Linked DNA regions of Cricetulus griseus. The protein of the gene in region 3 interacts with the protein of the main gene of each other region in a pairwise test. Links are inferred from orthologs where the notes say so. Each region holds a gene or a part of one and is shown on either strand. Other genes may lie near its edges. The genes, in order: Tasor2, Stx19, Prkab2, Psmd11, Grn, Rhebl1 and Spry2.

Region 1 (3,500 bases), on a different chromosome or scaffold from region 3:
ATTCAAAGTTTTCTCTATTTTGTTATGTCAAGTATTAAAGCAGGGCTCAAATAGCAGCCACATATTTTGTTTATGTGGGTGTAAACTTCTAGCCAAATTTTAGACTTAGGGAGTTGTTTGGAGGAAGCCAGTATTGGTATTTTAACCTATTACAATTGCTGAGAAGGGGAAAGGAACCATATGGTAAGCAGGTAGAAATTATAGAAGCACCTTTTATCCCAGGTATGGCTTCTTCAATGGACCAAGCTGCAATGCAGTATTGATTTGACAGAGCCTTGATTTCAATGATGTCTGTCTCAAAATGGCTCCAAATGATTTCTGTACTGCAAAATAAAGCCAAACTCTGGAAAGCACTGTCCTCTATATTGTCTGCCCATGTTCTGCTTGTGAAGACAACACAACTGCCGTACTGCCTTCAGGAGAGCTAACCTAATAGATTTGGATGGGAGCCATTTCTGGCTTTATACATTTTACTATAGTTACAAGGCTCATTGTAGTGGGATTCTTATTAAAAGCATCCTGGTGAGTGGCTTTGCACACAGACTGAATCACAGCACAAACAACTGCATTTTAATTGTCTTTATTAAAAAAAAAAAACCCAACCCCAAACTAGGTATAAAAGCCTTTGTTCCAAATAGACAGTATACAAATGTTTTTTTGAGTGTATGTATTTTTAAAGACTTAAGAAAGTTCTAATTATCATAAATAATTTCTTCCCCAGGTTGATTTTTGTAGTGCAGCATAAAAAAAAAAAACCCTAGTAAGTGGAAAAGTGTATAAATTTGTCATTTACGGAAAAATGTTTCTTTGTAGTGTTTCTTATGCAACAACAAACAAAACCACTACAGATTATACTTTTTTACAATGCTGTAAAACCCCGAAACATGCACTTCATAAGCCTCTGACCACACACAGAAACAGCTATTTGTTAAAATACTTTTACTTCAGCTACATAAACATGTGACGGTCTCAATTTTAATAGTAAGCTTAATGGTTTTGAAGGCATTATGTTTAGAAGTAAAATAAACATTGGAACCCAGAGCTATTGGCATCTATGGTCCATGATGAAATATGACATTCTAACAAAGTATGAAAATGAAACATGGATTTTTTAGATAAGGATTGATTGTGTGTATCTGAAGTTTTTCAGACACAGGAAAATACTAATATATTGTTGGTGTCCTCCATTTCTAGTTTCAACTCCAAATGTAGCTTAATTACCTGTAGGAACACAAAATTAAGACAGAAATAACCAAGAAATATAACCAAAGTGTATTCCATTTGAATCTAAAGAGTAGTCTTTGAACAGTTTTCTTTCCCTCGGTGGTAGTGTCTGCTGCCAGTAATTCCAGCTTACACGGGAGTTTTACAAAATGTTCTTACCAATAGCTACTCCTAAATGGAGCTGCTATCTTTTGTATATTTTCAGTGAAGTAGTTTACATTTGTAACAAGAATTCCATTATTTTCAAAGACTTCTGTGGATACTGTAGGCTTGTCTATGAAGAAAAAAGAAAAAAAAACAAACTTGTCAGTTAGCTAGCATTTCCCATTTTTTTTTTTTTTTCCAAGGTAGCAGAATTCATTAGAATGAGAAGAAAAACTAAGACACATGGAAGCAGCATGAGGGAGGGAAGGGACAGTAATGGACAACAGTACTAGCTTCAGTAACCAGGCAGCCCAGCTAAGGCTCACAGAAAATTTGGGAAAAGTAGAAAAATGTACTTGTAGGATCTGGTAATATTAATTAGAAGACTATTAACTAGAGAAACTCATTACTCCTTGGCAAGCATCCTCAGGACTGTCAAAACACATGCTGCACTACCTACCAGCTATGGATAAAAGCCACATATATCTAAGGAATTCAGTAACTACTTAAGAACGGTATTTCTAGAGCTGTCCTATTTTAGCATTAATGAAGATTAAATTTACCTGTTAGGAAGACAGCAAACCTGGCACTGATATGTTGAACTTGCAGGTTTAGCAAGCATTTCAAATTTTCAGCTTTTGTTGGTGATGGAGAGTCACAGTTGTGATAATGAAGCAATTCAATGATATTTACACTCTGATATGATTTCAGAATTAAGTTCTTTTTATGTGCAATTGAATCTACCCTGGAAAATAGAAAGAAATGTTAGTAGCTTTTCTTGCTTTCATTAAAAAGAAAGATTTTAAATTATCTATGTGAAAGAAAGTGCATGTTAGTGCAGGTGCCCTAAGAGTCCAGAAGAGGGTGTCTGATCCCCTGGATCTATAGAGGCAATTGTAAGCCACCTAATATAGGTGCTGGGAACTGAACTTGGGTCATCTCTTAAGTACCAAGCCATCTCTCTAGCTCTCTTGACTTTCATTTTAATTTGTTGTTAAAACACTTGGTCAAGCTGGGCAGTGGTGGTGCACGCCTTTAATTCCAGCACTCAGGAGGCAGAGGCAGGCGGATCTCTGTAAGTTCGAGAATAGCCTGGTCTACAGAGCGAGTTCCAGGACAACTTCCAAAGCAACACAGAGAAACCCTGTCTTGAAAAACCCAAAAATAAATAAATAAATAAATAAATAAATAAATAAGTAAATAAATAAATAAATGAGCAAGCAACAACAACAAAAAATTCCACTGCTGTGGACGTGGTACAGTCAGTAAAGTACCTGCTGGGTAAGCATGAGGACTTTAGTTTAGACCCCCAGCATCTATATAAAAAGCCAGGTGTGGTGGCACACATCTGTAAGGCCAGCACTGGGGATGAGGACAAGCTCACTGGCCAACCAACTGGCCTAGTCCAATTGATGAGTTCCAGATTCAGTGAGACCTTCTCTTAAAAAATAAGCTGGGGGGCTGGAGAGATGGCTCAGAGGTTAAGAGCACCAACTGCTCTTCCAAGGGTCCTGAGTTCAATTCCCAGCAATCACATGGTGGCTCTCAACCATCCGTTATGAGATCTGGTGCCCTCTTCTGGTGTGCAGATATTGTACACATAATAAATAAATAAAATCTTAAAAAAAAAAAAATAAGGTGGACAGTGATAGAAGACACTTGACATAGATTGCCAGGCTCCTCCACACAAGTGTGCAAACTGCATAAATACATACATATTCCACATACACGAATCACTGCTTTAACTTAATATGCATGGCTGGTTGATATACATGGGAGGCCTGCACTTTTCTGAAGAAAAAGGAGGGGGAGAATGTTGAGAGGGGAGGAAATGGGAGGAGAGGAGGGAAGGGAAACTGACTGGGCTGCAAAAAAATTAATGAATTAAAACAATCACTGCTTTAGATTTAAGGTGACTTGTCTGCTATTTAAATCCAATACCCTGGCAACTCAAAATATGAGTATCAAAAAAGGGAAGCTCACACTTTACCATATTTCTGCATATGGCAGCAGAGCCTGACTTAACTGTGGATGTTTTTAAGCCTGGCTCAAAATGTTGCTGTAAATACATCTTTCACCGAATGCCCTACTATTAAAAAAAAAAACAAAAACAAAAAAACCCAAAGCTAACC
Region 2 (2,716 bases), on a different chromosome or scaffold from region 3:
CACCTTAGGTCTCAAGCTTTACTGTCACCAGTTAGATTCTTCATCAAGTTTGCAATTGAGTTTTCCCAGATCCTAGTTATCACCAGGTTTACTTACCAACCAAGGATAAAGACTTAATAGGCCTTTTAGCTTCATTTTGGTGCACTGTGCATTTTGGTGCATTTTGGGACCTTGTTTTATCCAACTCTCAATTACCAAAATATTCTCAAATGAGCCAGATTAATAAAGTAACTATCACTTAGTTGAATATTCATCACAAGAATACAGAAATGCACAGGAGAACTCAATATTTTTCCAGAAACATAAGGTCTTTCACTGTCACTTTTAATAGTTAACCTGTACATCTTAGGTAAATGCTTGTCTTGTGTCACCGGCTTCAGCATTTCTGTAACATTAGTGGGTAAATGTTAAAGGGAAAAGTGACCGGTTAGCAGTGTTAAGATGTATGTAACTGGACTCGTGAAATGAAGACAACCCAAACAAGATTCTGCAATGTGGAAACCTCACCCCTAAACCCTGAGCAGTTTCTTTATTTGGAACCACAGCATGGACAGCAACAGCACAGGACCCTGCAGGGGTTTCTTCTTTTGTATTTTACAGCGAGTCCAAATTTCTCTTTGGTATTGATGACATAATCTTTTGTGCTGGTCACCATTACCTCAATGTTGTTGAGGCTTTCTCCTTGCTCCTCTACCAGAAGAGAGATCTGAATGAAGAGGTCCCGGAGGTCCTTCACTTGGGTCTCCAGATTCACAAGCTCTTTGTGTCTTTGTTCAATCTCCGAGAGCTGTGCTTTCGTGATGCTGGTCTCCGTGAGTAAGCTTTCGTTGAAAACTTCCCATTTCCCATGATGAAGCATGTCATTCACTTCCTCTTCAGACACTTCCTTTCCAGCCACTTCAAGCTGGCGGACAATGAATGTCTTGCATTTCTCCTGCTTTGAAGCGATTGTGTCGTTGTAGAGAAACATAGTTTGCTGAAAGTGGTGGAACATTGCGGCATACTGAGACTTCAGTATCCTTGTGACCACTGATGACGGACCATTTTCAACCTCTGACTTTTTTACTTCTTTAACCAAATCACCCAGTGCTCTGTGAATCTGTTCTGCTTGGATTTTTATCTCCTTTGCAATGGTCGAGTCTCGTTTAAGTAGGCTAAACCTTCTCATGGAAGCCACCAGGCTCTTCTGTTGCTGTCCAAACTTTTGAACATCATCAGCAAAGCTGTTAATAGTCTCCTGCAGTTTTTGGATCTCATGTAGGTGTCTCTCAGCTACAGGCTCTCTCTCATAAATAACAGCTTGCTGGACAAGCACACCTTGGTCGTCTGCTTCTGCAAACACCTGACTGTCCCGAGAGAGTTCGATTTCCTTGGTTTTCTGTTTTAATTCTTGAAGTCGGTCTTTCATCTTCCCTTCCCTCCTAAGAAGCAAAAATAATGAAATGGAACAAAGGACAAAGTTGCCATTTTTCTCCATTAGCTATGTGTCTCTTAGCAAAAATTCTAGTTTTCTAACAGAAATTTTAAAAATTGAGGAATATGAACAAGGCACGATGGCTCTTGCCTATAATCCCTGCAGGGAGACTAAGGCAAGAAAGAGTCTGGCAAATTCGATGCTATCCTAGGCTACATGTGGAATTTGAGGCCAACCTGAACTACATAGTAATAACTAAAAAAGAAAAGAAGGAGAATAAAAAATAATTTCCTCATAGATATTATCAAAATAGAGAAAGTAATACAAGAAAATTTAGGAATTACTTTGAATGGTTGCTCCTGCCACATATCTCATTTATTTGAGTATAGTCACTGAGAAGGCAATGGGGAAGGTATAGTTGCCTACAAGTAAGTTCATCCATGCCATTATACTGTCCACAGTACGACTTTCCATTACAAAAGCTTTGACTGTACTTTGACTTTTAGGATTGGCTTTTAGCTTCCTAAAAATATCATTATTAAAGATGCCTTTCCCATTGAGTTTAGTCTATGCCCTGTTTAAAATAGACATTTTTCTGGTACTGGAGAGATGGTTCAGCAGTTGAGAGCACATGCTGCTTTTGCAAAAGTCCAGGGCTCCTTTCCCAGCACACACGTGGCAGTGCAACAACCATATGTAATTCCAGTTTCAGGAGATCTGATGCCCTTTTCTCATTCCTGTGGGGACCAGGTATGTATGTGATACACATACATACATTCAGGCAAACACTCTTCCACATAAAAATATACACATATATAATCATTTTTCTGAATATGCATAATTCAATTAAAACTCACATAATGACAGAATAAATTCTATGTGGATTTTAAGCAATATATAATGAGCTTTTTGAATTGGCATATTTTATATAGCCTTGTTTTCTTAGCTATTGCATATATGAAAATTATTGAGTTGATTATGCTGACTTCTCATTCTTGACAGTTATTTCCAAGGATCTTGGCTCCTAGGGCAAAATGTATAGAAATTCATATCATGATAATCTTTAGATACTTGAGAACATGATTATATATAACCTTAACTGAGAATACTGATATTTTCATTTTCACCTAGTGCTCCTAATTGTCCATAGCATCAAATCAAATTGAAATAAGTTACATATGATTATATATAATGATAAGGCAGTGACACACACATACATACAGTGAAATAAGTAAAAGCTATTATTTTTAATAAACCACTATTTTCTTAATCCTTGAGTATAGAAAGGCACTTAATCCCTTT
Region 3 (4,293 bases):
GTTGATGGCTGCATTAGGCATGTTTACCAATGCCTAAGAACAACCCTCAGATTCTAATTCCCAAACAGAACCTGAGAACATATTTTTTTTAAAGCTATCAGATAATTATACTGTACTTATATTACAATAAACAGGGAAAACGTGTTTTGTTTTTTCCTAGGGGGGTCAAATTCTCACTCCGGATTGGCAGTGACCCTCCTGCCTCAGTCTCTGAACAGCTGCAATTACAGGAGTGAGCCACTACTGTATCAGCTTTAAAGAACAATCACCTTTTTAGGTATACCCTAAAATGTTAGAAATACTATTTGTTGGCATCTGTTTCAGAGTAGTGGGTGGGACAATGGCTTGGAGCACAGAAAGCCACTCATTCGTGACCTTTCAGCACCATTTCAACCGGGTGACATACACACAGTTCATTGTACTGTTCTAGTTTATAAATGTGTCAGATTTCCCATAAGGTTTTAAAAACAATCTTAGGGATCCTAATGTTCAAAAGGGATGGAGAACCCTAGTGAGTCTACTAAAAAGCCTGACCTTTAGAGCAAAGATGCCCCCCACCCACCCCACTGTCTCTATCAGTTACTTTTATGACGGAGGATTTTCAGTTCAGGATTTGAAAGCTCTACACTATTAATACACCTGGCTTTGGAGCAAAGCCCTTCCACTTATGACATGACATTTCTGTGGTAGCAGGGAACGCAGCAAGACTGTTTACTGGAGTTGAACCACCAGCAACAGCAGCAAATCGGCAATTCAAATTACAGTCTGAAGATGATTAAGGAAAAAAAATCAGTGGGGGGAGGACATGTGAACTATAAAGTTTTTAATCTTCATGAGACTGGGGGGGGGGTTGTTGGAACTACTTTTCTCATTTCACAAACGGCAAGATGTGAGGGAAAGAATGTTCCAAAACAGGCCTGAATTCACACAGAGCAAGCTGGCTCCTATTCAGGACACCAATTACTGCAGTCACAGTTTGAATGTACCCAAATCCTGAGTCATCCATGTAGGAATGAGCAAAAATACACGGCCTGTCACCCTGGGTAAGCTTTGGAGAACAAAATCCAGGCTGAGCACAGAGCCCCAACGACGAGGAAGAAGTCCTAAAGTGGGGACAAAGAGGGAACCCCAAGAAACGCACAGCTCAACATCTCTTACTTCCCTAACGGAGTCCTCAATCAGGACTCAAGAAAACAAGCCATATAATCCAAATTCCACATGCTGTCAAAGAGGTAAATAAAACTCTATTCACTATCCTAAGCCTCAGTGCAGTGGGAAGGGATAAAGTGACAGGCGCCAAGTATATCCCAATCATCTCCAACCCTCTGGTTTTTCTTTTTCACTCCTGACAGCCTACTTGAGAAATTAAATGTTTTTAATGCTGACATTTCTAAAAGTGATTAGGAACATTAGGGTAGCAATCATACTGCTGTCGGCTCCATCTGCCTCTTCTTTTGGGTGAACAAAAATGGGCCTTTGGCTGGAAGTCTCTGGCATTGGTGGCAAAGTCTTCGGGCAGTTGTGGGTGGTTTTGAGCCTCAGGCAACATTTTGAACATTTCGAAGCACTATAGTGGAGTGAAGGGAAGTAACTTGCTCTCCCACAAGGCACAGCCAGGTGTGCAAAAAGCACAGTCACAATCGCCACGTTTATAAAAAAAACCAACCAAACAAACCTGAAGCCATTATCCAAATGATGCACTGTTCTGATCACCAAGACTAGGCGAAAGTATTCAAGTAACCAAGTGATAACTGCTGAGAGTCACGCAAACGGGGACGAGGATCAAAAAGGGGACGCAGGGCCCCTGAGAGCAAAGGTGATATCTACACAAAGGCATTTTCAGGGAAAAGAAATACATTTAAATATCTCGAGGCCAATGTGAGAAACGGAGCCCGAAGCAGCAGCTCAAACAAGGCAACCTCTTAAGTTTCCAAGCTCGCTCACCACCTATACATCCTGCAAGCTCCACCACAAGAAGGCAAGATGTGGTGCAGAACCAAGGATGGGGCGGGCAGGGGACGTGTCTCTGGTACCGGTCCTGAAAGTATGGCCCGCAGATCAGTCAGAAGGGCAGGAAAACAACTCCACGCCTCTATCCTCATTTGAGGCAGCACCTAGGAGGCATTCGTACTCAACATCCCTGTCCGCGGGAAAGCCCTCTAAAGTCATAAAATAAAATGAACCCGTAACCCTTGGGAGTGAGGAGGAAGAACCAAGAAGGGAGAAGCAGCCGGCAGCCCCGTGGACTCACCTTGGAGTCGGGCAGGTTGAAGACGCTGGGGTCGTCGGTGCTCCCCACCATGATCTTGTGCTCCTTGCCCGGGCCATGGCCGCCGCCCTCGGCTCGCGCAGCCTTGGCACCGTGGCGCTCCCCGGACACCCGCTCGCTGGTGGTGTTTCCCATGGCTGCAGCTCGAGTCGGGGGCAACCTGCCGCGGGGAACGACACCGGGCTGGGAACACCCCCGCGGCCGCGTCAGGGGCGTCCCGGCCCCGCCCCTGCGCCCGGGAAAGGGAATCCCCGCCGCAGGAGGCCGCGCCCGGGGTCCCCTCCCTGGTCCACTTCGGGGACGCCTCCGGCTGGGGAACCCGCCCGGGAGTCACCTCTACCCCGCGGCCCCGGCGCCGCACACCCTCGCGCCGCTCACCTCGGGCGATGCGCTCCGGGATCGCGGGGCCACGCGCACGCCGGCTGTTGGGCGCACAGAGAGACCAATAAAGTTATTGAAATTGAAGCCGCGCCCCAAGCCAGCGGCACGGGTGGTTTCCTCCTAAAATGGCTACAAGGCCCGCGGCGCGGACCCGCCTCTGTCCATGGCCCCGCCCACAAAACCTCTTTGTCCCGCCCCCTGCGTGCCAGCCCCGCCCCCTCCCCAGTCCTAGTCGCCTGCCGCTCTAGCCACCGTCGCCGGCCGCCGTCTCTGTGGTGAATGCGTGCGTGCCTGCCTCCAGTTTGGGGCGGGGCGGGCGCGGCGGGCGGCGGCGGGGGGGCGGGGCGGCGGTGGGCGGGGCGCGGGTGGGGCGGGCGGGGCGAGGGGGGTCAGGGTCCGGGTTGGGGGCCAGGCTCTCGCGTGGCGGGCGCTAGTATCTGGATGGAAGTCTATACGCTTTCGGAGTCATGTCTTCCTAAGTAATCCGTCCAGCCATGGGACACGGACTCGTCAGAGAAGCCAAATCCGAGGTCTCCTGCTCTGGGTACAGAATTAGAATCTGCACTTTAACAAGATCCCATCAAACTGCTTGACAGCGGTAGGGAGCGGTTCCACATTCGAATGGTTTTCATTATGCCGCTTACAGCTCTACCGAGCGACCTCGTTTTCATTGTCCCAGGAAGCAATGAAATGAAGGGTGGAAGAGAGAATTGACTAGACGCATGAAGTGTGCCTGGCAAGTACTGCAGAAGGCTTACTTATATGTGGTGCCCAGTTCACCATAGTGGTGTTTTCTCTTACTGTGATTAGCTGTGTGGGAGCATGCATTCAGCTCAAGATGAAGTTTGGCCAAGGAGGCAACAGAGGAGTTGGGAGCGCATGGTGGGCTGGGAATATACCGTTGGACCAGCGACTGGAAACCAGTAGACTAGAAAGTGAAGGCAAAGCAGGCTGATGGCGGGCCCAATGGAGTCTAAGATTGATGGGCATGAGGGTATCGGAGTGAGCGGAGAAGATGATTAAGTAAGTGGTTTTGGAGAGTAGGATGCCTGCCACTGAGATTTCAGAGGCCTTGGAGTTATCAGCACTGGCAGTATCTTGGACAAGATCAAGGGTGTAGGTTGGTGAGGCTAGGTAGACCATAAAGTCATCAGAGTAAGAAAATCAAAGAAGGGCCTGGAGAGATGGTTGAGTGGTTAAGAGCACTCGTTCTTTCCGAAGACCCAAGTTTGGTCCCCAGCCCTGACATGATGGCTCATAACCATCTGTTCCGGCTGATCTGACATCTTTTGATGCACATGCAAACATGCAGGCAAAACACCCATTTATAGATAAAACTGAAAAAAAATGTTTAAGTCATGCAACTGAAAAGTGAGATGGCAGAGATGGTTGGAGATCTGCCTTCCTAACTCTCATTTCTTTCCTCTTTCAAAAGCATTAATCCATCTCCATCTCCATCAGATGCCAGGAAAGGGAATCCCCGCCGCAGGAGGCATTAATCCATCTCCATCAGATGCCCATTTCCACAGAGATGCACTTCTTAGCCTCCCCAATACGGGGCGGGGGGGGAGATACCATGTAGAACTTCTGTTAAGTTTTTCTTCATGTCTTTATCCTTGTGTATAGGACGCTCATAGAATAGC
Region 4 (3,958 bases), on a different chromosome or scaffold from region 3:
CTGTAGAATACAATTCTACACTTTTCTGTTACAAAATTAAATAACAACAAATTGTCAGGAAAATAAAACTGAATAATACCACAAATGAACTGGGTGTTAGGTGCAGTCCAGTGTTCTAAGAGAAACTCCATCTGGTGCTTCAGACAAAAGCATCATAGGTACAATCATTTGCAAGACTTACCAGCAGCTTGTCCAGTCTTCGCCAGGAGAGACCCCAGTTCAAGGATGCTCTGCTCTTTGACCTGGACTGCCTCCTCATCATTTTCTTGAATGTCACGTTTCACTGAGAAAAGAAAATGAACTCTTAAAATTGTGATTTAAAAAAATGAAGCAAGGGGAAAATTCACCCTTACAAGATAACTCATTATGAACTCTTGCCTATTTCCCAAATAAAACTACCAAACAGTTGGGTGGTGGTGGCGCATGCCTTTAATCCCAGCATTCAGGAGGCAGAGACAGGTGGATCTCTGTGAGTTCAAGGCCAGCATGGTCTACAGACTGAGTGCCAGGACAGCCTCCATAGCTACAGAGAAACCCTGTCTCAAAAAACAAAAAGTAAAAACTAAAGCAAAAATAAATAGATAGATAGATAGATAGATAGATAGATAGATAGATAGATAGATAGATAAAGTCCTTCCCAATTATGGTGATGAGCCCCATGCTAGACAGTATGTTATATGAAGACACTAAAAAAAAAAAAAAAAGCCTGTGCATTTACCTATCACAAACTAAAATCAAATTATAAAGTTATTGATGACTATAAACCAAGTCTTTCTATAAACTTTTAAGTCTATAGAAAGCTTCAGCTAACGGATGTATTAGGAATAAACAATTCTATAAAGCCACTCTAGACAAATCCCTATCAAAGCTCCGGTGTGATGCTGAACAGCTAGCTACACTTAGGAGAGACTGCTGCTCATAATGGACCAGGTCCTGTTAAAGTCACTTTCTGTCTGTCCCACTTTCAACTGTTAATAATTATTCAACCATCTGAACCTCAAAGAACCTCTCCAAAGTTTGTACTGCTTATTTTGGTGATCATCACTAGTTACCACTGGTCTTAACAAACTTACAAATCATGACTTGACAAAACCAAGGTTTTGATACTTCATGATGGAATCTAGAAAAAGTAAGGCTGTCACCCATCATGACTCAAGCTTGCTCTAACAGGGAAGCTTGCAGGGGACTGTCCTTTAGTGTAGTGAGCAACAAAAAAACAAAACAAAACAAAACAAAAAAGCTCTAATGGTAATGTTTATCAGCAATCTCTACTTTCGGAAAGGCAAACAAATCAAGCACTGGGTACAAAAAAATTAAACCTCATGCTCCTCAGATTAGTTCTAAATATTAACGTGTATTCACAGAAAAATACCTATGTAACAGCAATCGGATGGCTTGGGTACCCTTTTCGAAAACTCACTTAGGATCAGAAGTTGGAAATGCCCTTGATCAGCATTATCCCTTCAAAATGCGTGTGATCACCATCTCCTCTCCTTTTCTAGCACCCCAAAAGATAAAGACACAAGCCCTTGTCACTGTCCTTTCTCTATGCAAGTCTTCACAACTGAAACTCAACAGGCTGAGCAAATCAACCGACACCCTGGAAGTCCTTCACACACCTGCAGTCACTAACTACTTGTTGATCCCATCCGAATTTTGCCAGGCTACATTTAAAAGACCACATTATCACAAGAAGCAGCTCATGCCCTAACTGAACCCTTGAGGACTGAATATTTAAAAGCCTTTTCTGCCATTATCCATTTATTTCTCTTCACACCTGAATCCCAGAAGAAAGAGACCGGCCGAGGGCTCCTATTTTAACTTTACTGTTGCTCTTAGGTTTAAGACAATCACACTATGATGTTAAAAGTTTTCTTTTTTTTTTTTTTTCCTCCAACAACGTGCAGCCGGCCGGATGCAAAGAGTTCACTGAACAACAGACAACTAACTCTGAACTCAAACTTCAACCCTACTGGGGAGAATTAGTCACCTCCTGTGTCCCGGCGGTCCCACCCCGACACTTCGCCTCCTCACAGGCTACACCGGACAGAGGACTGTCCTGGCCACCTCCAGCACATGCCCTCAACTTCCCACACCCAGAAGTGGCCCTCTTTTTGCTGGAGCCGGCTGCGGAGGGCTGGGGGTAAGCAGCAGCTCGCAGCGTCCCGTGGAAGAAAACTCCAAGAGAAGCGCTCGCGCTCCCACCCGGAGCAACCTGTGCTGATAACAACGGCGGGAAATGCCCGTCCTGGGCGGCTGTCGCCCGGGCCTCTCAAGAGCACACTCTGGGACCGGTCTGTAACCAGCAGTGGCTCCCAGCCGCGGGCCAGCTCGCGCGGGCCACCACCCGGGACCCTGAGGGGTAGCGAACCCGGCCCGGCCCTCTCTCCACGCTGCCCTGCGCCCACCGTGAGTCAGCAGCCAGCAGGTGGATGCGCGGGCTGGCTCGGGGCTTCCCGCCCGCCTGGAAGCCACGGGGCTCCCGGGGGCCCCGAGCGGCCTGCGCCCCCGGCCCGGCCCCCCTCACACACAGTGAGTCAGCAGCACCACAGCCGGCTAGCCCGGCCCCTCTCCGCCGCCTCCGACCCACACAGGCGGCGCCGGGACGGCGGGGCCGCGGGGAGGGCGCGAGAACCTTTACCGATGGAGTGGAGGATGTCGATGGAGGCCTCCCGGTCGGTGCTGAGTAGAGACTGGGCTCTCTGGAACTCCACCACCGCTGCGGCCGCCATCTTACCGCTCTCACACCGTCCCCGGCCGCGGCCGCCGACGCCGGAAACACACACCCGGAAGGCCCGCCCTCGCGTTCCTCCCCCCGGGGACTCCGCCTCCCTTCCCAGAGCACCCCGGGAGTTGTAGTCTGTCTCTCTCTCTGTCTACAGGGCGGGTGAATCAAGAGCTTCCCGCCAGTGGCATGCGAGCTCTCCGACACCATCTTGCGGCCAGCTCTGACGAGACAAGACCGAACTTAGTCCCCCACCTCCCCAAAAGAGACTAGGTGTTAAAGAGAAACTACTTGGCTATCTTTATAGTATCCACGTTAGACTAGTCATTCAAAGAGAAAGAATACCTTCCAAATTGTATGTTGTATGGCAGGAAATAGGACCGTTTGGATCCACTCATATGTCTTGCAGAAAGGACACATGCACACACACACACACACCCGTTTGGATCCACTCATATGTCTTGCAGAAAGGACACGCGCGCGCACACACACACACGCACACACACACACACACACACACACACACACACACACACACACCCTTCCAAGTGCTAGCAAAATCACCAGTGCCACAGTCCACCACCTTTCCCAAATAACCACTGCATCTTCGACAGAGCTTCACATTAATGAAGTGAAAATCTCCTTGACCCATTCTTTCAACCTAAATAGTTCTTGAGATTCTTCACACAGATGACTCACCCCAGCTTCCCAGATCAACAATAGAACAATTGTTTCCTCCCATATCTCTAATTCCTTCTACTGTAACCAAATATCTATGAGGATTACAAGGAAAGGGGCCGGGGGGAGATTGGGGGGGAACACTTTATGTGACCACCAAGGTTTAACCTAAGAATGTTGCTAAAACAATACATAGAGAGACATTTTAGGTGATGACAATCCAGACATGAAATAGCTGTGCTATAATATAAAAGAAACTGTAGCTGGGCGGGCAGTGCACACCTTTAACCCCAGCACTCCAGGAGGCAGAGGCAGGTAAATCTCTGAGAGTTGGAGGCCAACCTGGTCTCCAGAGCGAGTGCCAGGATAGGCTGCAAAGCTACACAGAGAAACCCTGTCTTGAAAAACCAAGAAGAAAGGAAGGAAGGAGGGAGGGAAGGAGGGAGGGTGGAGGGAGGGAGGAAGGAAGGGAGGGAGGGAGGGAGGAAGAAAGAAGGAAGAAGGAAAAAGGAAGGAAAAATAGAACCAACATTGCACTCCTCTGTGACTGCATTA
Region 5 (4,029 bases), on a different chromosome or scaffold from region 3:
TTAGACGATCGCTCATTACCATAGGCAATGTGTCCTGGAAAGAAGCAATGACATATACCAGAGGATCTGTGCCAGACCTCTTCTGGCCAATCCAAGGTAACCCTTCAAAAGGCCAGGATGCCAGCTGGGGCGTGAGACACTCACCAGAATAGGGTTGCAGCAGCTGTAGCTGGCTCCTCCGGGGTCCAGGCAGCAGACAATAGGGCACGACTGACCATCTGGACACTGTGTTCCAGCCACCAGGCCTGCCATGAAGGCCAGCCAGCTTACCAGGGTCCACATGGTCTGCCTGCAAATGCCAAGGAAAGTTTGGCAGCCATCTTAAGCTTATGCCACCTTCTATTCTGAGTCCATGCAGTTCCCCATGCCCTGGCCAAGGCATGACATGCCTTGGATTTATTGAAACTTCTCAACAAGTGAGCAGGAAGGCAAGCAGCTGCCTGAGTCAGCATCCTACACTGTAAGCATCACACTTGCACCAGCTTGCACACACGGTGAGCACGAATGCTGGCATGAACACAAGTGTCCATCATGTCATCACACTTGGCCTAACACCTGACACTATAGGCGACTGGAGAGGCGCGGAGTTATGACAGTCAGGAAGCCATGTGGCTTTGATTTATGGGACTGTGGGCTAACTGGGAGGAGACTTCAGCGGCCACAAGAGGACAGCCAGCCTCACCTCGCTGCCTGGCACTGAACTCCCACATGTACTTTTCAAAGGCCTTGGGGAAACAGAGTTGTCAATCACATGATCATATGGGAAACCAGGGGTTGAGAAAGTTGTGAAAACGGAAGTGCAGTGGCCAGGGGAGTCTGGGCTGCCTTTCCCACAGGCCAGCCACTGCCTGCCCACAACTGTCCCCTCCCCACCCAGGGGAAGGGCACATGGTGGCTGGATTAGCCTTGAAGCTAATTTCATAACCAGCCCTCCTCAGCATCACCAGGACTCCTTTGGACTCCTCAAACATACCACCTGTTTCTCCCTACTCAGAAATCGAAACTCAGCTGCAAGAGCAAAGTTAAGTGTACTTCTTCACTGGCCCTCTGCCTTAGCAGGAGGAACCGAGTCTCTCACTTCCCTAATAAGTCTTTCCCCAGCACAGCTGGCCTACCCAGCAACCCAGAGTGACACTCCCCTGCCTGGGGCAGCAAAAACAGCAATATTCAAAGACCCTCCAGGGAGCCACTTTGCCCTTCCTTACTGTATTTCTCTGCACAACTATGCAAAGCAGTGATCAGATTACTTTCACTTTTCAAATCCATGCCCAGGTATCAAGTCAGAGAAAACAGACTGCAGATATTGGACCTGGATTCTTATGTCAACTGACATCCCTGAACATTGCCAGGGAATGGACCCCAAATCCCAGAGGCCAGAGGTCCAAGCAGAGGGAAGCGGGCAGAACATTTCCCAGGCAGGTGACCTACACAGGATAGAAATAGGGTGGGTACAGCCAGACGGTGGTGGCACACGCCTTTAATCCTAGCATCCAGAAGCAGAGGCAGGTGGATCTCTGTGAGTTCAAGGCCAGTCTGGTCTACATAGCAAGTTCCAGGACAGCCAGGGACAAAAAGATCCTGCTCAAAAACAAAAGCAAAACAAAAAAATCTACAAAAGAAAGGGTGGGTACAGGGACGGTGTAAAATCTGCCACTGATCAATTGCTGAGGGCCTCAGAAATTGTTTCCTGTGCCTCAAACTCTGAATACTGGTGGCCATGGAAGGCAAAATCCCAACATCCAGACCTCAAAGCTTCCGATAGGCATGACAAACATGCTTTTGATCCCTGCACTTGGGAGGCTAAGGTGGGAGGATTACAAATTCCAGGCTACAGGGTGACTATGAGGTCAGCCTGGGCTACATAGAGGATCTGTCCCTCATTGTGCCCCCTCCCCTTCCTTCTCTAGGTTTTCAAGCACCCTCTCAAAGAATATCCCAGAGGTCATCTCCTGGCCAGATTAGAATGGGGTAGGGGAGACCTAATCCCTTTCATTAGGGTTAGGGAGTGGTGACCTCTGGCCACCTCTACACCACTCTGTTGAAATAGCCTGAGAGGACTGGAGGAGCCTTTCAAGGCCCTAGCTTCGAGATCTTCCACTAGGTGGCACCCCCGACTCCGGAGTGTCAAGGGGAGATGAATTTCCCAAAAGGTGAGCCAATCCAGCAGAGGAGCAGGGAAAAGTGGCGGGGAGAGGCGGAAGTTAGCTCTCTCGCCCCCCATAAAGGAAGTACGGCTGACACAACCCAGGGATTCTGCCACCACGCCCAACTCCTGCTCCCAACTCCTCTGAGCTCTGGGACCAAGGGCGGGAGATCCCCACCCACTGCAAGTCGCCGCGAAGACTACTGGCGGCACCAGAATGAGAAAGTGCCGGGACCTGGAGACAAGAGGTGGGAGGCACCGAGAGAGATGAAGCTGGCCCAAGAGTGGGGCGCTTCCTGCTCTGGAGAAAGCCCTGCAGCTTTCCGACATGCTGGGCAGGGGAGCCTCTTGTTGGGGGTGTCTACAGCAACTGTTCCCACTCCTCCCAAATGACAAACCCTCGTTAGTGCATCTGAAACCCCGAGGGGAGTTTCAAGAGGCAGGACTTCTCTCGTCTCTGAGCTGAGGCTCCGGGGCAGCCTCAGTTGCACAGCAAGCCTGGCCAGGCCTCTGGACAGCAGCCAGGGAGATGTCTGCTGCGGGTCCTCCTACCTGCTTCGGGGTCCGCACTCCCTGGGAGGCATCTGGCTGTCAGCTCTCGGACTAGGGCTTGGCTGCCCGATGGCCCGCCCACCTCAGTTTCCATTAGCCCTGGGTCGGGAATCCGGGGCTTCCATTGGCTACTTGTCTACATAGAGGCGGGACTCTCCAGGAATGCTGTGTTTCTTTTCTACTCAATCCACACTCCTCCTCCCTTTCCTCTCTCTCCCCACACCCCATGTCTAGGAATCATGTGACCAGGCAATCATATGACACCATAGCCCGCCTCCCCCAGGGCCTCGCTTGCTTGTTCGGTTGCTTTCCTCCCACCCCCCAGGGCCCTGGCGGCGCCTGGCGAGGTGTTCTAGAGATGGGGCTTGCGTACCTAAGGCCACCGACAGTTAAGAAGGCGCCTGCGGGGCGCGCGTTCAAGGTCGTTTACAGCATAGCGTCGGCTTCTGGATCGGGACATTTGTACATTCACTGTTTTCACGCTAGGCAGCCAGGACTCCAAACAAGCTGAAAGATAGTTGGGAGGGTAAAGATAAACAGTCCCCAGATTTGGGTGGGATACTAAATCTAATAAATGTTCAAGGGCGAGTACCAGGCAGGAGATTGGCTGAAGGTAGGGGAAGAATAGATGTAAATCCACTTTGAGCTAGCCAGGAGATGGTATCACGCTGAACTGAATCTAGAGGAATTTTAAGGGGCTGGTTAGGCGGGACAGAGGCACTCCGGAAGAGGTTAGGAAAGCAGATGGGGAGTACAGTGTCTAGCAAGAGTTAAAAGCCACATTCAAAGTAAGGGCATTGGGCATGAGCTAAGTATGTGGCATGGGCTGGTGAAGCAGGCTGGTGGCTGTGGAGGTGCAAGAGGCCTCCTAGTTTCAGCTACCCCTACCTTCGAGGAATTGTCATGGTCCATGAATAGAGATTTTTAGCAGTAGAACAGATTAGCCAGAAACAAAAGCCAGGCTGCTGAGTGCCAAAGGGCCTGGGCCAGACAGAAATGGCTGATTGGAGACCTGCCAGGAAGAGGACAGGCCCCAGGAAAGCCCAAGGCTGGGCCTTGTAGGAAAGGCAGAGTTGGTGTGGAAGATAGGTCCCCTGGGAGGAGCAAAGAGCTTGACTGGTAGGCCACTCAGGGGAATGGGGACAGCCCTACGAATAAATCCAGGACAGTAAGAGTCTTGCATAGAGAGGAGCCTGGTGGGCTTCTTGGGCTAGAGCTACAGGAATCCCAGAAAGTGGAGGCCAACGTGGAGTATCTAGGGTAATTCTGCAATTCTGTAATTGCTTAACACAGCCCCAGTATCCTTGCAGCTCTCTGAGTCAGGGTCTCCTGTG
Region 6 (4,024 bases), on a different chromosome or scaffold from region 3:
AAACAATGCCTGCAAGCTGTCTGAAAATTCTTTTTTTTTTTTTTTTTTGTCTGAAAATTCTTTAAGATTTAATTTCCTCTTGATGCTTCACACCCCTCCCCCAAGGTTTGATGAGGGTGAGGTGAGAAAAAAATACATGTAAACAAAAGCATGATGGGTAAATGTAAGACTGAAGCTTGAAATAGGAATTATGGCTTTATGTTAGAGTTATTCTTAAGTAACCATCAAGGTAATGATGAAAAGAGGGAAAATGGCTAGACATAGTGACCCACCCCTACAATCTCCGCTGGCACTGCTAGAAAGGCAAGAGGACAGGGACTTAAAAGGACAGCCTGGACTACATGGTGAAGATCCTGTCTCAAACAGAGGCAGGCAGGACTACAGCTTGACTGATCCCTAGTACAACTTACTTTCCTTTGCCATGAGCAACAGGGGTTTACACACCTGTCTGGAGAGAGATCTGCCTTGTTCCCCACAAGCACCACAGGTAGCCTGTGATGAAACAGCAGTTACTATTGTATGATTATAAGAACCCTTTTCCTGGAATGTAAAAAATAAATTAATAATAAAAAAAAAGAGTCCTTTCCCCAATCTCTATGGACCCCAACTAGTCTAACTACAGCAAGGCTAGATGATTCCCCAAACAAGCCAGGCATGATCCATGGCCAGCCTCCTGGAAGAATCCCCATGATTGCTTTCCTCCACACCTTCATTCCCACATTCTATTTCCTGGGGCCACTTACCGAGTTTTACCATGGCCTTCATGTAGCTTTTGGTACAGGCTCTTAATGATTTGGAAGCTTCAAAACATAAGAGATAGAGCTTTAATCTCAGTTCTAGGATTATTGTTGAGTCCTCCAAGCCCCACTCAAAATCTTAGTCACACACCTATGCAGAGAGGTGACAGAATATACAAGCACGTAACCATGGACCCCAATGATGAACGAATAGGGCAGAATGCTGTACTCATCCTGACAAGAAACAGAAACATGAGTATTAAGAGCCACACCATTCAAATGGCACAAGCTGTTGGGATAACATACAGGTGACCCTCTCAGAGACATTCCTTGCTCCCATTCAACAAGTATTTATAAAGTAGCTCCAATGAGCCTTGTACACTGTTAATAGCTAAAATACTTTTCTTTTCATACTACATCACACATGAAACACACAGACCACAAGACTTTATACAGGGGGAACTGCAACATTTGGACACCCTACCCCAATTGGTACCTGCCCTGCTGTGTCCACTAGATGTAGATGAAACTCATCTTTGCCAAGAGTCACTGTCTTGCTGTAAGCTGGAAAAACAAAGAGGAAAACTTCTTGACTGTGAGGTGCTTTGTAGGACCAGTGATGTGTATTCCTTTACATTCCTGACCCTGGGAGTAACAGAGACAGACTAGTTCCAGGGAACTTTCCAGGATCTGGAGAGTTATGCTAGGGTTCTTGCTGTCCTCATCTTTAGTATAGTAAAGATTCTATACTATCCTGGACTAAAATCTTACAAATTCTACTCTCTAGACCATCAGTTCTCAACCTGTGGCTCACAACCTTTTGGAGGGTCAAATATCATATATCCTGCATATCATATATCCTGCATTACAACTCATAACAGTAGCAAAATTACAGTTATGAAGTAGCCATGAAATAATTTTATGGTGGGGGAACATGAGGAACTGCAGTTAAATGCTAAAGGGTCACAGCATTAGGAAGGCTGAGAACCACTGCCCTAGACACTCACAGAACAGGATTCCCAGAACTGATATGATTAACACATAAATAAATCAGCCCCTTGGTAACAAAGAAATATCAAATTATGTAATTGGAGAGGGTACCCAGTCTATCTAGGTTCCATCTCCTTCACACTAAAGAACATTACTCACTATTCTCCACTGTAGGATCGTAGCCTTCCAGGAACTCGCCTTCCACAAATTGATGGGCCAAAGATGTCTTCCCTTTAAGGACCAGAGATTGTTGTAATATAATCATCCACCTACATTCACACCGTTTGTCCTTTCGGACTGTGGCCAGGACCAAAACGCATCCCAAATCAGCTTCCCATTCAGTGAAAGACCCCCAGCTCCAAGCAATGCTTCCCCTTGGACTACTACTACGAACATCCTTACGCGTTGACTCCGCAGCAGTTTGGCTCCTGGGATGCATTCAGCACTGCCATAGGAAGCCTTTCCCTGCCCCACCCCACCCCACCTCACCCTTTGGAAGATCCAGGACTCCCTAGGATCTAGTGCACCAGCCCAAGGACACTTGCAAGTGTCTGCCTCGCGCAGACCTCCACCACGCCTTCAAATGCTGATCCCACCCCTGTTCCCAGAGTAACTCAGGGACCACTGATGCAACCACAGCCCGGTCCACTTTAACCCTTGAGTGCTCCTTTTCCAGCATCCCTCCACACGACTTCTTCCCCGTCCACATTGGCTCCTCTAGTCACATTCCCGCGACAGCGCGCCTCTTCTGGACACAAAGCAACGGTGCTGCCACCGCTGGTGCTCTCGGGAGGGCGGAGACTCACCTACCGAGCGGTACCCCAGGATGGCCACCTTCCTGTAGCGCACCAGAGGCATGACAGGACGCCGCTCCGAGGGGCTCCTAGGAGCGCGGACCAAGAGAGCCCGAACACTAGCTGGAGTGCAGGCGGCAGGGGACCCCGGGAAGGACCGCGGCTCACCAAAGATAAGCCGGGTGAAGGGAAAGGAAATCAAAACAAGCCGCGCGCCCGGGGCAGCCCACGTGATCACAACACTGCGGCTCTACGCAAGGGAGCCGGGCGCCAGGGGCGGGGGAGGGGCGGAATACGCGGCTGGGCGGCTCCCGGCCCCGCCCCCAGGCTGCTCCCCATTGGTCAATTAGAATGAGGGCGGGCGGAGTCGCCCACAAGGAGGGACCAGTGGGCTCACGTGGAGCGGGAATTTTGGGAGCTGCACATGCGTAGACCTGAGCCGGTTCATTCATAAAGAAAAAGGTGCTCGGGGTCCTAGAGGTACTTTTCCATGTGCAGCCTAGCCAAAAAAGCTGTGAATCTTAGATGGAAAAACAGCTGTTGTGAAAATACAAAACGAAAAGGAAAATACCTGCTGTGGTTGGCTGGTATTGGTTTTTGGTTTTGTGTTTTTAAGACAAGGTCTCACCTTGTAACCCTGACTGGACTACAACTCTCTATGTAGACCATGCTGGCTCAAAACTCAAAGAGGTCCACTTGCCTCTACTTACCTAATACTGAATTAAAGCATGCAACACTACAAAGTAGCTTTGGGCCGGAGGTTTTGTTGAAAAGATGCTAGGCCTCTGAAGTCAGCAGTGATGGCAGTTTTTAATCCCAGCACTCAGGAGGCAGAGGCAGGCGCATCTCTTGAGGCTATCCTGGTCTACAGAGTGAGTTCCAGAACAGCCAGAGGTAAACAAAGAAACCTTGTCTGGGGCGGTGAAAAAAAAAAAGGGGGAAGGATTCTAGGCCTTTGTTTTTCTTTTCTTCAAGATAGGGTTTCTCTGTGTAACAGCCCTGGCTGTCCTGGAACTTGCTTTGTAGACCAGGCTGGCTTCAAACTCACAGAGATCCACTGGCCTCTAGCTCCAGAGTGCTGGGATTAAAGGTTTGGGGCCACAACCATACGGCTCAACAAATATTTTTTGATCTGTGAACTTGAGAGTTGAGGCAGGAGAATGCTGTCAGTTCAAGACCAGCCTGGGCTAAACAATGATCAAGCCACCCAAGACCTTGTCAAAAAACAAAAAACCCAGGCTTCCTGGCCTAGGCCTATAATTGCAGGATTTAAGAGGTGAAGACAGGAAGGTCAGGAGTTCAAACTCATTATGGCCTCAGCTACATAGTGAGTTTGAGCCCAAGAGACCTTGTCTTAAAAAAAAGAAAAAGAAAGTCTATTGAGCATGTTCAGACACTGACCCAGGTTTGCTGAAAGAGATAAGCATGACATACAAGGTCTCTGTTTCCCTGGCATTTAAATTTATTCATAGAATTTGGAGTTGTGACAATGGCATGCATGAG
Region 7 (4,178 bases), on a different chromosome or scaffold from region 3:
GAGGAACTTCTGTGAGAATGTTCTGGGTGACAAACAGTGGGACTTGAAAGATGACTCTCCTTTTATTTACGGTTTCGCGAAGGAGGGATTCAATTTGCAGGGGAACAGCGTGCGCCCCCCCCCCCATTTCGGAAGTCCATGATGTCGCCCTGAGTAATCGCGTGGGTATTACTGAATTAATTTAAAAAGCTTCTGAGTCGAGCAAAAACAATGCCCAAAAAAGTCTTCAAAAGGCCTCCATCTATAGATAATCCCTCTTAAAAATGAAATTCTAACAAACTACACGTCCACACAATCAAAAGCCAATCCCAGCCAGAGCAGAAGGGACTTGAAACCCGAATCTGCATTCCGTTCCTGCCGTACAAGGCTCGGAGGTGGGGGAGGCGGTTTGTGCTGGTGCCCGGTGTATAATCGGGTTAATCCAGTAGACAAAGAATAAACCAATAGCCCTCCCACCTCACTTCCCGCTCCCCTTTCCCTCCCTCTCCCGCTCCCCCCACCCTCTTCGCCCCCCTGGGCATTGGAGGGGGTGGGGCGGGCGAAGGAGGCGAAGAGGTAGATCCGAAATGGATTCCCGAATCGAATCTTTTAAAAAGCCGCAAGTGGCTTTTCACGCTCGCACCGTGCGGCCGGGTTAGTTTTTGCAACGTCCCCTCTGGTCTCCGGGCGGCGAGGGAGAAAGTTCCCTAAGTGAGCCTGGCCTCCGGCTGGTGCTCGTGGCCTCCGGGGGTGGGCGAGCGAGCGAGCGGGCGGGGCGGGGGGGGGGGGAGCCTTAAGGTCAGTGTTTCCTTGAAACTAGATAAACTGACCTCGCGGTGGCCGCAGCGGCCCCGCGTGACGGCGCCCGGGCTGCAGGAGCGACTGGGGACGCGCGGGGCGGCGCGGTTGCCCTTTTGAATGCCTCCTGCGGCTCGGAGCGCTGGCGGGCGCTGGAGTGTGAGTGAATGTAGCCCCGCCGAGCCAATGAGCTGGGACCGGATGCGATATATCCTCTGGGACAACAACTGCTCTGTTCCGCCTCGGATCCACATGACGCCATTTACTGCTGCCGCGGCCGCTGCAGAGCTCCCTGCCTCCTCCGGAAAGGCGAGGGCGCAGGCCAGCGGCTCGCCCCCCCAGGCCCCAGCCCCAGCCCCAGCCCGGCCCGGCCCCGGCCCCGGCCCGGCCGGGCCCAGACCCTCCTCCCCCACCATCTCCTCCCCTGCGCACCCCGCCCCCGCCTCGGCCTCGCCGCCGCGCCTCCGCAACGCCCAGTCTGCACGAGCCAGAGCTGCGCGCCGCAGTGCGAGCGGAGGGGGCCGGCGGAGCGCGCAGCGCCCAGGCCCCGCGCGCGCCCGCCCGGCCCGGCCCGCGGCCCCGCGCCAGCCTCCGCTCCGAAGCAGCCCCGGGCCCCCAGGACTGGGCGAGCTGGCCTTAGGTTCTTTGTAAGGCCGTGTTCGCCTCTCTTTCTCTCATCGGCCAGGAAAAAAGAGACTTCGCCAACCACGGCGCTTCGGCTTCTTGTTCATTGAGAAAAAAAAAAAAAAGAAAGAAAAAAAAGAGGAAATACTCCGTGCGCTTCTGGAAGGGAGGTCATCTCTCTCTCTCTCTCTAGCCCGGAATCCGAGAGGGTTCCAACGGTGGAGGATTGGGTTCCAAATTTTCCCCTGGTTGTTTTTCTCCTGCCACCGATTACTTGGAAGTTGGACTGAAGCAGAGTTCGGAAAGAAGGAAAAAGTTTGCATCGGGACTGGATTTACTTTGCACATCGCAGAAAGAAGAGAGTCCAAGGGAGAGGGGTTGGTGCAAAGCCGCGATCACGGTGAGGAGCGTTTGGCTTTTTCCCTGCTGGAACCACAGTCCGCCGCGAGTGGGGTACGGGTTCCTCTTTCCCCTAAACCCGTAGGCTTCCAGGGAGGATCGGGAGCTGCCCCGCGGATCTGCTTCGCCTAGGACAGGGGTTCAGTCACCGCCGGGCTGCAGGGTGCGCCGGTGCAGTGTCCCCACTCCGCGACACCGCGCTCCCTAAGGGCTTTGGGGAGGAGGACCGCTCCACTGCGTTCTGCTCCTACCCTGCTTTGGAGGCGGTTTAGTCGCCGAGATCCCTGCTTTTCCTGATCGCTGTTGCAGGCTCGTTTACGCTGCTAACCTGTTCCTCCTTTCGGTGGAAGGCCAAGTTCTGGGGAAGCCGATCCTGCGGCGGGGGGCGCCTGTGGGGCTGGGGTACTGGGCTTCTCATCTCACCACCGCACCGGAGCAGAAGACTCGGCGGACAAGCCGAGGGTAGGCTGCCAGGCGGAGGGAGTCCCCGCCTCTGCCCGGTGTGGACAGTCTAGCCCGGTGCGGGTGGGAGCGTCGCCCAGCCTGGCGCCGCGTCTCTGCGGTTCGGAAGTGCGGCTTTCTCTTTTTTCCGTTCTTCGTGGTCGGCCTGGGTCATGCTTTTTTTTTCTTTTTTCTTTTTCTTTTTTTGATGCTTGGGCTGACCTAGCACAGGAAGAGAGTTATTAAGTGGTCGCGATCGTTTTCCATTACCTGAAAGTAGGTGGCAAAAAAAACTAGTTTCCCCCCTCCCTCTTTTGTGTTACTGTTTTTGAGATTTGGAGTCTTAACGCCTTTTTTACAAAGGGGTTTCTGTGTCGGTTTGCCCCACCCTAGTGCTGAAGTCCTTTCCCCCTAATCCTTAGTCTGATCACACACTGTTCTTAATGGGGGTTTCAAAGCACTCAGAGGGGGAGGGAGAGGAACTGCGAGAGCGCAGGGGGTGGAGGCGGCCCGCGAAGGAGGCCGCCAGGGATCGGCAGAAATCACTTTTTTTTTTTTTCTTCCAAAAGATGCTACTTTTCACGGGCAGTCTTCACGGGAAGTTCCCGATCTCAGGGGTCGGAGGCCTGCACGCCTGGCGTGTCCAGTGGGGCTCTAGATAAAGCTTTTTCTTTTTTTTTTTTTTCGTTTTAAGAAATAAATCTTTTTTCTTGGTCTAAAAGGAGGTAGGCGTGTGCAGATTGCAGGCGGTGCTCTCTTCGGTCATTGCACGCTGGCTGGAGTCTCTCTGGGAGCGTGGGTACATAGACTTCTGTGCAAGCTGTGCGTCCCGACCCGGCTCTCTTCCTCGGGGCGTCGGATTTGGGAACTTGTGGGGACAAGCGTTTTGAGGGCCTTCGCAGAAACACCTTGTGGTGACCTTGCTGCGGGGGTGGGCGTGTTGGAGTGGCACCCCCTCTTGGGGCTGGGTGGCAGTTCTCTTGGGTTGGGGGAAATTTTAGCTGAGGGGGTGCGGAGGAGGGGGAAGTGTGCTCGTGCATTTCACGACACGTCCCCTTCGGAGGCGCCCGCGCCCCCTGCCTGCCTGAGCTTCAGGGGATTGCTCGCAGGAGGGGCCGGGCTGGCCCTAGACAGCGTCAGTCCGCCTGGAGGAGAAAAGTCCCCGGGGTTCTGGCTGAGTCCCACCTGCTGCGGACTGTGTGGGGGCGCAGATAGAGCCGATAAACCCAGTGAAAGCAAAGAACAGCCTTGTGTACCTTGCTGTTGGAGGTGAGCAGATCCGGTTTCCAGCTCTGTCTAGTTCTGAATTAGGAGGCGTTTGTCACCTGCCTTGTTCGCTGCCCTTTTCCAAAAAGCCAAGGTTGGATTAAAAGTCCGCTTTTGCTTATTTTCTTTGGTATTTTTATGAGGGCCTGGGAGAGGGGTGGTACTTTTTAAACCGAAGAATGACTGTAATTTAAGCGATCCCTTGACGAAATGATAGGTTTCAACCGTGACACTTAGGATTTTTAAAACCTTTCCTATTGCTGTTACTTGCTTTTGTGTTTCTGGGTATTTTTCAAAACGAGAAGATAACATCATTTTTGCATGCTTTATTAAACAGGGAGAATGACTTGGGATTGAGGATATAAGGCTAGACTCATAGGTCTGTGGAATATTTAATTCTCGAGTAGTGGAAAATACGTTTTGGTCTTACGAGTTTGTTTTCACGTGATAGCTGATGGGAATCGAAATGACTTCAATTCTGTAACTTTGTACCACTGTACTTACTTAAAAATGCAGCCTTAATTGTTCTCAGAATGTACTTTTATATCATATGGGACTGGCAAAAGATACTGATTACACAACTCTCGGTGCTGACTTAAACCGAAGCTGTTGTAGGCATTTGTTGGTGTTTAGTGTAAAAAGGATCCTGACAAATTTAAACCTGTTACAAA

What was found.
Region 1: the proteins of Prkab2 (region 3) and Tasor2 interact in binary tests that used the Homo sapiens proteins (3 or more experiments, as listed by UniProt). The link is inferred for Cricetulus griseus from reciprocal best matches to the Homo sapiens genes PRKAB2 and TASOR2.
Region 2: the proteins of Prkab2 (region 3) and Stx19 interact in binary tests that used the Homo sapiens proteins (3 or more experiments, as listed by UniProt). The link is inferred for Cricetulus griseus from reciprocal best matches to the Homo sapiens genes PRKAB2 and STX19.
Region 4: the proteins of Prkab2 (region 3) and Psmd11 interact in binary tests that used the Homo sapiens proteins (3 or more experiments, as listed by UniProt). The link is inferred for Cricetulus griseus from reciprocal best matches to the Homo sapiens genes PRKAB2 and PSMD11.
Region 5: the proteins of Prkab2 (region 3) and Grn interact in binary tests that used the Homo sapiens proteins (3 or more experiments, as listed by UniProt). The link is inferred for Cricetulus griseus from reciprocal best matches to the Homo sapiens genes PRKAB2 and GRN.
Region 6: the proteins of Prkab2 (region 3) and Rhebl1 interact in binary tests that used the Homo sapiens proteins (3 or more experiments, as listed by UniProt). The link is inferred for Cricetulus griseus from reciprocal best matches to the Homo sapiens genes PRKAB2 and RHEBL1.
Region 7: the proteins of Prkab2 (region 3) and Spry2 interact in binary tests that used the Homo sapiens proteins (3 or more experiments, as listed by UniProt). The link is inferred for Cricetulus griseus from reciprocal best matches to the Homo sapiens genes PRKAB2 and SPRY2.

Annotation. Positions count from the first base shown.
Region 1 is NC_048596.1:228,642,776-228,646,275, forward strand, and holds part of Tasor2 (protein TASOR 2), read right to left. Parts: intron 2,114-3,500; coding exon 1,932-2,113; intron 1,499-1,931; coding exon 1,384-1,498; coding exon of another isoform or gene 1,380-1,383; exon of another isoform or gene 1,222-1,379; coding exon 1,218-1,221; 3' UTR 1-1,217.
Region 2 is NC_048597.1:30,361,549-30,364,264, forward strand, and holds Stx19 (syntaxin-19), read right to left. Parts: upstream 1,417-2,716; 5' UTR 1,409-1,416; coding exon 530-1,408; 3' UTR 501-529; downstream 1-500. UniProt on the Homo sapiens protein: Plays a role in endosomal trafficking of the epidermal growth factor receptor (EGFR).
Region 3 is NW_023276806.1:58,819,651-58,823,943, forward strand, and holds the start of Prkab2 (5'-AMP-activated protein kinase subunit beta-2), read right to left. Parts: upstream 2,801-4,293; 5' UTR 2,648-2,800; intron 2,453-2,647; exon of another isoform or gene 2,430-2,452; 5' UTR 2,405-2,429; coding exon 2,252-2,404; intron 1-2,251. UniProt on the Homo sapiens protein: Non-catalytic subunit of AMP-activated protein kinase (AMPK), an energy sensor protein kinase that plays a key role in regulating cellular energy metabolism.
Region 4 is NC_048600.1:93,879,536-93,883,493, reverse strand, and holds the start of Psmd11 (26S proteasome non-ATPase regulatory subunit 11), read right to left. Parts: upstream 2,801-3,958; 5' UTR 2,733-2,800; coding exon 2,642-2,732; intron 284-2,641; coding exon 182-283; intron 1-181.
Region 5 is NC_048600.1:115,672,851-115,676,879, forward strand, and holds the start of Grn (progranulin), read right to left. Parts: upstream 2,801-4,029; 5' UTR 2,728-2,800; coding exon 2,696-2,727; intron 290-2,695; coding exon 145-289; intron 35-144; coding exon 1-34. UniProt on the Homo sapiens protein: Secreted protein that acts as a key regulator of lysosomal function and as a growth factor involved in inflammation, wound healing and cell proliferation. Regulates protein trafficking to lysosomes, and also the activity of lysosomal enzymes.
Region 6 is NC_048595.1:395,350,090-395,354,113, forward strand, and holds the start of Rhebl1 (GTPase RhebL1), read right to left. Parts: upstream 2,801-4,024; 5' UTR 2,586-2,800; coding exon 2,534-2,585; intron 2,025-2,533; coding exon 1,887-2,024; intron 1,302-1,886; coding exon 1,234-1,301; intron 972-1,233; coding exon 889-971; intron 801-888; coding exon 744-800; intron 493-743; coding exon 445-492; coding exon of another isoform or gene 411-444; intron 1-410.
Region 7 is NW_023276807.1:257,384,644-257,388,821, reverse strand, and holds the start of Spry2 (protein sprouty homolog 2), read left to right. Parts: upstream 1-1,378; 5' UTR 1,379-1,801; intron 1,802-4,178.